Linked DNA regions of Arabidopsis thaliana. The protein of the gene in region 1 interacts with the protein of each later gene in a biochemical or structural test. Each region holds a gene or a part of one and is shown in the gene's direction. Other genes may lie near its edges.

Region 1 (3,753 bases):
GTATCTACATCTAACTGAGAAAAAAGAATGTTTTTCTTTGTCATATTATTGTTCTCAAATTCTGATTATACAACTTTTGACATCAAATCATAATTATGCAATCAAACAAACAAACCAAAAAAGAAATATGCGACTAGCGTAATTTTTGCGCCACAATGTATTTTATATGCATAGCAAATCATTAGAATCCTAGTACAACTGTACAAAGTTCGAGTTGGACACCTAGCAGCGATAATTCAAACCATGTTTCCATCTAATGTAACAGTATAGACTTAGTCGTCTATCAATTTTAGGTGCAATCATTCGTATTAAAAAGAAAACTTAGTTTTTTTTTCATACTGTTTAGAGGAACAAAATACATGTAACAAGAGGTACATTTTTGTTTGAGTTAAATTTTACAATTTTTGAATATATAGTCAACGAAGACCGAAAAAGTTGAGTCAATTCCTAAGAATCAATCTGCCACATGCATCGCCGTGCTTGAAGGGCGGCTCACTGTCTTCTTGCTTATTACTACAGTTAAATCTTTTTTTTTCAACATCTAATGCTATACTTTTAATCTATAATATATATTAGATGTGACTTAAGGAATTTCAATAGTTATACATAATAATAAAAATGAATATTTGTTAGTGTTACAAACTGTGTGTCATAATCATCATTCATCAGGATTTCAAAAATATCTCAAAATTGTTGTAAGTTCATGTAATTCGAAATGAATGTGCACTATAAGAAATAAATTTACAATTTAAAAAATGCTTCAATACTGGTTACAAAAAAAACTTTCAATACTAGTATTATACTACTTACTTAGTCAAAAAAGTTTATGAATATGGTTTTTTCTGTATGTTAATATTTTTAACTGAAAATAGTACCGACATAACAAGTAAAGATATCTTTATTTAAAGTAACAAACATTAATTTCACTTCAAATTCTCACTATTAAGGATTCCTCTCTTTGTAGCCACATTTCACCATCACTACTTTGTTTTCGCATATCTTTAAATTTTGTATACGTAGCAAACTCTTTCGAGAAAACAAGATGAAGCTCGTGGTTGTACAATTCTTCATAATCTCTCTTCTCCTCACATCTTCATTTTCTGTACTTTCAAGTGCTGATTCGTGTAAGTGTTTACTTAATCTAGTTAATAATTGTAGGTCATGCATGTATCATTTTGAAACAAGTTTTCTGAAATTCTAAGATTTTACATATATATGTGATAAATGAATTAGCAGCATGCGGTGGAAAGTGCAATGTGAGATGCTCAAAGGCAGGACAACATGAAGAATGCCTCAAGTACTGCAATATATGTTGCCAGAAGTGTAATTGTGTTCCTTCGGGAACTTTTGGACACAAAGATGAATGTCCTTGCTACCGTGATATGAAAAACTCCAAAGGTGGATCCAAGTGTCCTTGAACGTTCTTTGAAGATCCTCATCACATACATATAACTTCTACGTACTATATGTGTGGAAATATTAATCACATTCTATGTTTGAAATATATAAAATAAAATCAATGCCCCCAATGTTGGAAATCTTCAATGTGATATCTTAATATATATCACGAATAAAAAAGTTTAAATTTCTCAATCTCATTTTTAATCTTTAATCTAATTTCTTAACACATCAACGAATCTTTAATCTTTAATCATGTAGATAATTATCAGAGCACCTAAACATTGCGCCGTTTTGTGATTATACAAAGTAACATCGTGCTGTTTTTGACTTTTGAAAACCACAGATCCAAAAACTGTTTACTTTCCTCTAAGAGAAAGCAAAGCCGAGTGAGTCCAAGCGAGTTTTGAGAGATTCGTTGACTCACTACCGGAGAACGACGCTATGTCAGAGACCGCCGTGTCAATCGATTCGGACCGATCTAAGTCGGAGGAAGAAGACGAAGAAGAGTATTCTCCACCGGTGCAATCATCTCCGTCAGCGAATTTCGAGAAAGATCGACACTTGATGTATTTGGAGATGATGTACGAGTTGCTTCCGTACCATTACCAATCTCAGGAGATCAATCGTCTTACACTCGCTCATTTCATAATCTCGGGTCTTCATTTTCTCGGCGCAAGAGACCGTGTTAGTCTCTTTCTCCTCTCTCTCAAAGAATCGATCTTTGTTTTTCCCCTGAATCTGATTTAGTGAATTTCATCTATAATTTCTGAAGGTTGATAAAGATGTTGTTGCAAAGTGGGTTTTGTCCTTCCAGGCCTTTCCTACTAACAGAGTTTCACTGAAAGATGGTATTTTTCTTGAATTTAGTTAGAAGTATGTTTATGAGCAAATTGTTAATTAGTTAGTGATCAATGAATGAGATGTTCTTGTTCTTCTCTGCAGGAGAATTCTATGGTTTCTTTGGTTCAAGGAGTTCTCAGTTTCCCATTGATGAGAATGGGGTAATTATAAGTCTATATTCCTTATGCTTTATATGTTACAAGATTTATCTTTGTTTTGCATCTGTGTGGGCTTGACAGTTTAGTTTGTTGCGTAGGATTTAAAGCACAACGGTAGTCACTTGGCAAGCACTTACTGTGCTTTGGCTATTCTGAAGGTCATTGGACATGATCTCTCGACCATCGACTCAAAATCATTGCTAATTTCCATGATAAACCTTCAACAGGATGATGGAAGGTATTAGTTCTTAGAGCTTAAAAAAGTAAAATGCATTTTATAATGCCATAAGTTTATTACTTATTTTCTTTGTTCTAAGTCGTTTAGGCTAGCAATATTCTCATTTACATGGTGCAACAAGTTTGGCTTGTCAGCATATAATGATTAAATAAGCAATGGGGTCTGAATTGTGTTTGATACTTTTTTATTTTGCTACAGCTTCATGCCTATCCATATTGGAGGTGAAACGGATCTTCGATTTGTATATTGTGCAGGTAAGGAATAGCTACCTAACAGGATTTACATACCATGTCTTTATACTTTACGTAGAGTATCAATCTAGTTTTTTTTTTTTTTTGTGGTTCAGCTGCAATCTGTTACATGCTGGATAGTTGGAGTGGAATGGATAAGGAGAGTGCTAAGAACTACATATTAAACTGTCAGGTTTACTTCTGATCTTGTAGTTGCTTTTGTCTTTTTTTCTTCCATTGATATTTGTCAATTTCTGTGTTGAGAAGACATTCTTGTGCAACATTCTTTGTGCAGTCATATGATGGTGGTTTTGGATTGATCCCTGGTTCTGAATCTCATGGTGAGTTGAAAACAATTTTTCTACTATCTCACAGTTGATTTTTTCCATGTGCAGTCCAACTAAGTGGCGCATATGTTATTACTGAATTGATCATTGAGGACACTTTAGATAATTTAGTTCCTTCATCTAGGTTTCTACTTCAATGGCAACCCATAAAGAAAAGAAGTTTACTATGTTCTTACGTTATGAGGGAAATGTGTTTAATTGACTCCACTCGTGTATGATGCTTACCTACGTTCTGCAACTTAGTTATGCAGGTGGTGCCACTTACTGTGCTATTGCATCCCTTCGGTTGATGGGATACATTGGAGTTGATCTGCTGTCAAATGATTCATCCAGTTCAATAATAGACCCTTCATTACTTCTCAACTGGTGCCTACAGGTACTGCTTCATAAAATCTGTTAACTTTCACCTCATAAATATTACCTTTAGATTCGTAATGGCCTGAGTGATCTGAAATTTTTTCTTACCTTGCCTGTAGAGACAAGCAAATGATGGTGGGTTTCAAGGTAGGACTAACAAGCCAAGTGACACATGCTATGCA
Region 2 (3,753 bases), on another chromosome or scaffold:
TAGTGGTCACATAATGTGCAGAGGTTCTTCCAAAGTTAGTCCCTCCGTGGTACTACAAGATTAAAGAACCATTTTGAGAATTTTGACAATCATTTTTGCATATATGGTTAACTCGAATGGATCATAATTTTTACCATGTAGTAGTTGACATGGGTTCCGTTCTTGGAGAAGAATCGAGCAACTGAATACGCGATATCTTCTACTGATCTTTGAGTTGGCGGATCACCAAACACGCGGAACCTATTGAAGAAATTGGCAAGATATTCAACACTTATATGAATGAACCTAAGGTTTTTACATGTTTAATTCAAGAGTAAGAAAAACAAACTCACTGAGTAGTCCAATTCTCAGTCCATAAAGATGGTTTGTTTTCTCTGTTTGGACCGGGGAAAGTATCACCGCAATGTCTTCCATTACAAGCATTGATCTGTTTCCACAGTGTTTTCAAATATTTTAAAACTTTCTTCCTCATTCGGATAAAACACAATCATGTAAAAATGAACTTTACCATAGGATCAGGAGCGTCGTTCTGCTTGCACATAACCCATGGGATCCCGAGTTTCATTGAGTCCACCAAATTAGATGCCCATTTAATGTAGTTTAACCCGTCTTGTTTATATGCACGTTGAACCGCGCTATATTCGTTTTCTATCTGCAATTCATATTCATTCCAAAACTCATCATTTTATAACATTTTTCAAATCATATATAAATATATAGGTTTCTCTTTTCTTTGTTGTCACCTGTCCTAATATAATGGGGCCTCCTTGTGACGCAAACAATCTTTCCTCCTTCATTTTGTCGAGTATCATCCGTACATACCTTTCTGTATGCTCCTGCAATATTTTTATGGTCATATCTTGTAATATATCTAATTGTAACAAAACACACATTGACATATATATAGTAATTCTATGTATAATACCTTGAATTGTTTATTGTCTGTACGGAAGAAAATTCCAGGAACTTCTCTAAGCCAATAAGGAAGTCCTCTGATCATCACAAAGAGATCATATAAAATGTTAAAATGAAGATCTTGAGAACGCCGAAAAAGAAGAAGAAGCAATGCATTATTACCCATGAGTCCATTCAGCTTGGATGAACGGTCCAAGCCTTAAGGTCACATACATTCCATTCTTTTGAATCAACTTTATGAACTTCACCAAATCAGCTCGTCCCGAAAAGTTGAACTGATGAACGCAACACAAAATACATTATGAATCCTAAAGATTCATGCATGCGTGTTTTATATGTTCTATATATAGATCAGTTTTTGGTTATGAATTACCTTTCCTTGTTGAGGCTCATGTACATTCCAGAAAACGTATGTCTGAATCGTGTTCAAACCGCCTTGCTTGGCTCTCTTGATGATACTTGGCCACATCTAAACCAAACCCAAATGACACAATAATCTCAATATACAAAAAAAAAAAAAAAACGTTTTAGAAAAACAGAGATTATGTGATTCAATAAATACTTCCGGAGTGCTTCTCGGGTAATGAATAGAGCCAGAATAAAGAAGCTCTCTTTTGCCATCGATGATCAAAGAGGTTCCATCATATGTCACCTCCTTATTACTCTTCTTCTTCTTCTTGGCGTCCTTCTTGGCCGCGAAGGAGGAAGAAGACGAGAGGAGAACGACAAGAACAGCTGTTAAAAGCCATCGATCAAGAGAATGTTTTCTCATTGAACTCTCTTCTTTTTCTTTTTTGAATTAATTTTTGGTGTCGTACGTAGAACAAGAAGCTAAGTTCTCTTGGAACCTCGTCCTTGTCGGAGGAATAAAAAACAAGGAGAGCTCAAATAACAAGCTTTCAGAAAAGAGGATGATATAAGAGAATGTTTCGCACTCAGGTTTTCAGGTTTCCGGAGAAATTTACGCGTCTGAAATAGAATCCACCGTTGTAACTTTGAAACTCTCTTCATTTTTCCTTTTCGATTTTTTTTTTTTAATTTGTTTTTGCTATTTTTAAATGTTGGTTTCACCCTATTCTTCGCCTATTATGTTGGACATAACATAACAAATTAGTGAAATTACCATTCGTTTTTTTTGGGTCCCCATAACAGATTCTTTAACGGTCAATAAGTGTTTTTAAAATTAACGGTCAATAACTAGCTAGACAGATTCAAAAGGTAAGCCTTTATACCGTGATTGGTTATAAAAATATTAAATATTGACCTTAAGTTCACGTTTTTTTTAGTGTCTCAACATTTATTTCTTAGAGAAGTTGTATGTACATTTTTAATGTTTACTTCAACATACCGGGACAAAAATATTATCATTTAACATGTAACAGAAGAATATGTATCCAAAGGAGGCTGATCAATAAAAATTAACACTCCAATCATATTGCATTGTAAAACCAGCTATATTTTTTATTGATATTTAAACCATAGTTGTATAATCCTAATGACACATCGGAAAAATCCTCTAAACCAGTCAAAATTTAGCTAAATTTTTTATTGATATTTAAAGATCAATCTAAATATGTATAGATTTAGGCATTTAGTATATGGGCTGCATAGTATTAGATGAAAACGAAGTTTAAAAAAAAAAAAAAAAAAAAGTACATAGAAATTATTATTATAATTTTCATCCCATAAATTTTTGTAGGGTCTTATGTTGGGAAACGCACTATCTAAGAAGAAATGCTATTTTATAAAATTTTAGTAAAAAGAAGAAAAAAAAGGAAGAAGAAGACCAAGAAATTGAGGTGCATGTGAGGATGAGTAGTAAAAATTAGGAAGACTCTAGTCTGGGAGAGACTTTCAGCAGCTATTTCTTTGTCTTCTTTCTCTTTAAAGAACCTCACTCTCTCTCTCTTTAGTCAAAAATCCCCAATTCGTGAACAAATTAGGGTTTTTGAAGTTTGAAGAAGGAGAGAAAGATGAGTGCTTCAAGGTTTATCAAGTGTGTCACTGTCGGCGACGGTGCTGTTGGAAAGACTTGTCTTCTCATCTCCTACACTAGCAACACTTTCCCCACGGTTAGCTTTAAAGTTCTCTTCTTTTACTTTGATTTCGTGAAATTTTAGCTTGGTGAAGTTGGTTTTGTTGTTGAAGCTTATGAGTTGGATTTAGTCACAAGTATTTGTTAGGTTTTCTTAAAGTCTTCTTCTTTCTGCTACCTTAGTGAATGTACTGATGTGATCTTTAGGATTTGAGAGACTCAGAGATTCATGTACCGTAGCAATGTTGTTGATCTGTTTAATGATCTTAGAAAGAGTGTTAGGTAACTTTCTGTAAGGAGATTTTGTAGCTGATGTTTTAGTGGAATTTTCTATGTGACAGGATTATGTGCCAACTGTGTTCGATAATTTCAGTGCCAATGTGATTGTTGATGGCAACACTATCAACTTGGGATTGTGGGATACTGCAGGCAAGTTGTTACCTTGGATTTTTTTGTCTTTTGAATTTCCTCCTCTTCCAGAGAGTCATTTGTGTTTTTGACTTGGTGAAACAGGGCAAGAGGACTACAATAGACTAAGACCTTTGAGCTATCGCGGTGCAGATGTCTTCTTACTTGCATTCTCACTTGTCAGCAAAGCTAGCTATGAAAATGTTTCTAAAAAGGTTTGATCTGTGGTCTTCTCCTGAAACTTCTTTCCTGTTTTATTCAGTTTACATTCAGTGATTCTGATAGAATACATTTGGTATCTTGCTTTTGATTCTTAGTGGGTTCCTGAACTGAGACATTATGCTCCTGGTGTTCCCATCATCCTCGTTGGAACAAAGCTTGGTTGGTTTTTTCTT
Region 3 (3,753 bases), on another chromosome or scaffold:
TTTATCGAACAAGTAGCATAGATATCTCAACATGAAAATCTAGTAATACATGTAAAGAAAGAAGGTTAATGATATTCCGCATGTTCATAGATAGGACTCGAATCTTTCTTTACCACAAGAGGGGTTTACAATGATACAATGATCATGTCCTAGAAGAGAAGGATCAGATGGGTTGGTCTTTGGGAACGATCTGATCCTTGATCCACATGTAGATAGGGATTAACACAAACCAGGCAGCTGCTAGAGTTCCCAGGAGGAAGCGTCCCAAGAAGGAGAAGGGGTTGTTGACAGGCTTCTCTACGTCCTCTTCCTTTGGACCAAGCTGCAGCATTTGAGTGATAAGTTTAGTGTATCAAAGAGAGAAGAAAGTAAAAAAGGTGAAGTGGGAGGTAAAAGACCTGGAGAGGAGAGTCACCGGAGGCAGGTTTAACACCAGTGACAGAACATCCCATGATAAGGCCGTGCCTGCGAACACCACGGTACCACTTGGGGCCAATCCTCTTGAGCTGAACGTCCTTGAAACCGGCATTCTTGAACCACTCAATGTACTCTTCCTCCTTGGGGAAGAGCATCCAGACATCAGAAAAGAAGCGAGAGAGCCAGAAGGTTGGGTAGACAGGGCCGATGAGACACGCTTTGCCACCGATCTTGAGAACCCTGTACGCTTCCCTTATTCCCCTCTGCGGGTCCGGCCAGTACTCAATGCTGTGTGATGATGAGACACACAATCAAACCCACCGGAAAGAAGACGATTATAAGAAGAAGAAGAAGAAGAAGAAGAAGAAGAAGAAAAGGATACCTTCCAGCAGAAACGTATCTGTCAGCATAATCGGTTGGAAAAGGAAGATCCTCAGCATCTCCCTCGACGATCTTGCATTCTTTCAACGGCTCCTTTTGCTTTGCTTTGGCCAGCTGATGTGGCGACTGGTCCAGAATGGTCACATTCTTGGCCTTCACTGTCTTGACTATGCCCAGAGTAGTGAAACCAGTTCCGCCGCCGACATCGACCACTCGCATGTCCGGATGGCTGAGATCCGCTGGCTCAAGAGCGTCGTCTCTCATATCCTCGGTCCAATGCCCAGGATTGATGACATGGTCGTATACGATGGATAAGAACCTGTAGAACCAGTAAGCCTCCTTCTTGTGCTGAATGAACCTAGGTTGCGCCGATGGCCGGGAAGACGACACGCTGCTGCTGCTGCATCTAGTAGCCACCGAGAGTCTAGGTGTGGAGGTTCGGGTAACTGAGAGTAAGGTCGGCCGAGGAATCGATCTGGCATGCAAATTGGAACCAGGGGAACCTAAACCTTTGGGGAAGGTAATGGCCCCGTTGAGCATCAAAGAGGCCATCGATGACAGATCCACCAAGTTGAGAAGAGGGAAGAAGAAGCTTATCTATCACCAATTCTCCGCCAATCAAAAACACAAACGAGAATGAGAGTGTGACTAAACCCTCTAACTCTAACAGAGTCAGTACTGACTCCAACCACATGTTTATGTACGGTCACGTTGTTTGTTGCGACAACACATATCCCTTTGTTGAGCCCATGGGCTCATTTGCAAGAATTGGCCCAAATAATAGTATTGGGCGTTTTGGCATTTTTCTGCAAATGGAAGGGAAAAGTCGATTTGAGTCAGAGAGAGAGAGACTTCGACGACAATTCAAACTTGTACGGACTAAGACCAGACTCTCTCTGACGTTGTCAGATCTGCGACCTGCTAGCGAGAGGATGCGAGAGGAAACTGTGGTTTACGAGCAGGAGGAGTCTGTTTCTCACGGCGGGGGCAAGCACAGGATCCTTGCAGAGCTTGCCCGCGTTGAACAGGAAGTCGCTTTCTTGGAGGTAGCTAAACTAACTCGTATCTCTTTCAAATTCCGACGTAGGTCTCTCGTGGATAGCTCAATTATCCTTTTTAGATCAATTGTTACAACAATTAGGTAAAGGTCGCTAAGATTGTTTCCTGTGAAAGCAAAAACCAGTATGGCAGATCTGTTCCAATCAGAAGAGCATGGTAGTTCTCTTGACAATAAGTGGCACCATTTCAGTCAGTCTTGTTTATGACTCTATGAATTGTATTCCCAAAATCTAAATCTGCTGGGTTCTCTTTGGATCCACTATTGGAATGGTTCTCTGTTGATCTTATTCTTAGGGATGTGCAAGAATACTTTTGATCATAGTCCAATTAGTATCATTCTCTCTTGGTTATCATCTATCGAGGCATGTTAAAAGTTAACCTTCTCCCAAGTTTCTCTGTTGCACAGATAATGTGTTTGCCTATTGTTCCTACTAGTGAGCTCTAACACTTACTAAAAATAGCTTTACTCTCTCTTTCTGTTTCATGTACTATATCCAGAAAGAGTTGAAGGAGGTCGAGAACACAGATATTGTATCAACCGTGTGTGAGGAGTAAGTATGGGATACTCAACCTATGTTTTTTTTTAACGCTTGCAAGCAACTGTGTGCTAGCTCCTGTAGGTATATTATCTGGATTTGACTGAAACTTGTACGTTGATTGGTGATCAAATTGATATTCCCTTGGTTCGCAGGCTGCTATCTGTCATCGAGAAAGGACCCGATCCTCTGTTGCCACTGTGAGTGCTTTTTAAACCTTGAAACTCTAGTGTTGGTTTGGACTGAATAACTGATGGATGTTGTGGTGCTGGCAGAACCAATGGACCTTTGAACTTAGGATGGGACCGGTGGTTTGAAGGACCAAATGGAGGAGAAGGCTGCAGATGCTTAATACTTTGATTCGCTAGACAGAGTAATGTGTTACATATACTAGTTTCTTGCTAGGATATCATTTTACATGGGATCCAAAATGGGGCTGTAGCAGAGAAAAAGCGTACAGATTAATGAGCATTGGAATTGCATAGAACGGCTTAGTTGCACCTACGTAAACAGTATTATATGTATATGTAATGTATGGGATCCGGATCTGACATACGAGTAATGGAGTTTCAGGCTTACAGCTTCTCATCTTCTTATTCTAGATCTTGTTGAAAGAAGCTGAAATGTGCATAGTGATATTTGGGGGCTAATAGAGTAATAGCTAATGAGGAAGTGGGTACAATCTTGAAGACCGTTAAGTGTGTCTCTCTTTTTTCTTTTTAGATAACTTTTGGCCACATCCACCCTCCATGATACACACACGCTAGTTTCGAGGATCAGAATACATACATACCTATGTTTATTATATAGATAGAACGATAATGGAACACAGAGCACATGCCTCATCTGTTGTCTTTTTATTATTACTTATTACTCTTCTCCTCCACTTCTGTATTATTACAGTCTGTTAAAGTAGAACCCCCTTTTGTTTTTTTCTTTCTATGTCTCAAAAATTAAAACAAGTTATGAGGTTTAAAAAAAAAATTGAGAAATGTAGAGGGTATTAGTAGAAGTGATTTACGGTAAGTTTATTCGACAGCTAAAAAGATAGTTTATGCATTCCAAAATATTCCTCAAATTTGTGATGAGTAAACAAATACTGGTAAGGTGGGTTTTCTGACAACCTTTGGATATACAGTAGTATGTCATCTGTTTTCATTGCCTCATTGGTCAAGATCAAAGTTGATGACCTCATTAGAGCTCCTTCTTCTCCCATAAATAAAAAAAAATTGATCAAAGTTTGTAGTATGAATTTGTTATATAAACAGAAGAGAAATTAACACAGAGATGTGAGTTGGTCCAAAAGAAAAATGATTGAGCAGCCGGAAGAAGCACGTTACAACATCTGCAGCATATCTGG

Evidence for each region.
Region 2: of the proteins of PGGT-I (region 1) and RAC3, one has a biochemical effect on the other in vitro, tested with the Arabidopsis thaliana proteins (one study listed by BioGRID).
Region 3: of the proteins of PGGT-I (region 1) and GG1, one has a biochemical effect on the other in vitro, tested with the Arabidopsis thaliana proteins (one study listed by BioGRID).

Annotation. Positions count from the first base shown.
Region 1 is NC_003071.7:16,499,824-16,503,576, forward strand, and holds the start of PGGT-I (Prenyltransferase family protein), read left to right. Parts: upstream 1-1,747; 5' UTR 1,748-1,842; coding exon 1,843-2,085; intron 2,086-2,173; coding exon 2,174-2,249; intron 2,250-2,343; coding exon 2,344-2,402; intron 2,403-2,497; coding exon 2,498-2,637; intron 2,638-2,835; coding exon 2,836-2,891; intron 2,892-2,983; coding exon 2,984-3,060; intron 3,061-3,162; coding exon 3,163-3,208; intron 3,209-3,465; coding exon 3,466-3,590; intron 3,591-3,690; coding exon 3,691-3,753. Other genes in the region: AT2G39540 (Gibberellin-regulated family protein), read left to right, coding at 1,043-1,124, 1,237-1,418. UniProt on the Arabidopsis thaliana protein: Catalyzes the transfer of a geranyl-geranyl moiety from geranyl-geranyl pyrophosphate to a cysteine at the fourth position from the C-terminus of proteins having the C-terminal sequence Cys-aliphatic-aliphatic-X (CaaX).
Region 2 is NC_003075.7:16,670,288-16,674,040, forward strand, and holds the start of RAC3 (RAC-like 3), read left to right. Parts: upstream 1-1,904; 5' UTR 1,905-1,956; exon of another isoform or gene 1,957-2,133; intron 2,134-2,496; exon of another isoform or gene 2,497-2,544; 5' UTR 2,545-2,567; intron 2,568-2,631; exon of another isoform or gene 2,632-2,678; 5' UTR 2,679-2,888; coding exon 2,889-2,987; intron 2,988-3,291; coding exon 3,292-3,379; intron 3,380-3,463; coding exon 3,464-3,573; intron 3,574-3,675; coding exon 3,676-3,739; coding exon of another isoform or gene 3,740-3,753. Other genes in the region: BGAL11 (beta-galactosidase 11), read right to left, coding at 1-52, 135-240, 333-427, 509-652, 744-836, 926-992, 1,078-1,190, 1,289-1,384 and 1 more. UniProt on the Arabidopsis thaliana protein: Inactive GDP-bound Rho GTPases reside in the cytosol, are found in a complex with Rho GDP-dissociation inhibitors (Rho GDIs), and are released from the GDI protein in order to translocate to membranes upon activation.
Region 3 is NC_003074.8:23,415,653-23,419,405, forward strand, and holds GG1 (Ggamma-subunit 1), read left to right. Parts: upstream 1-1,596; 5' UTR 1,597-1,610; coding exon 1,611-1,844; intron 1,845-2,355; coding exon 2,356-2,408; intron 2,409-2,548; coding exon 2,549-2,593; intron 2,594-2,668; coding exon 2,669-2,753; 3' UTR 2,754-3,329; downstream 3,330-3,753. Other genes in the region: APG1 (S-adenosyl-L-methionine-dependent methyltransferases superfamily protein), read right to left, coding at 164-322, 399-705, 800-1,350. UniProt on the Arabidopsis thaliana protein: Guanine nucleotide-binding proteins (G proteins) are involved as a modulator or transducer in various transmembrane signaling systems.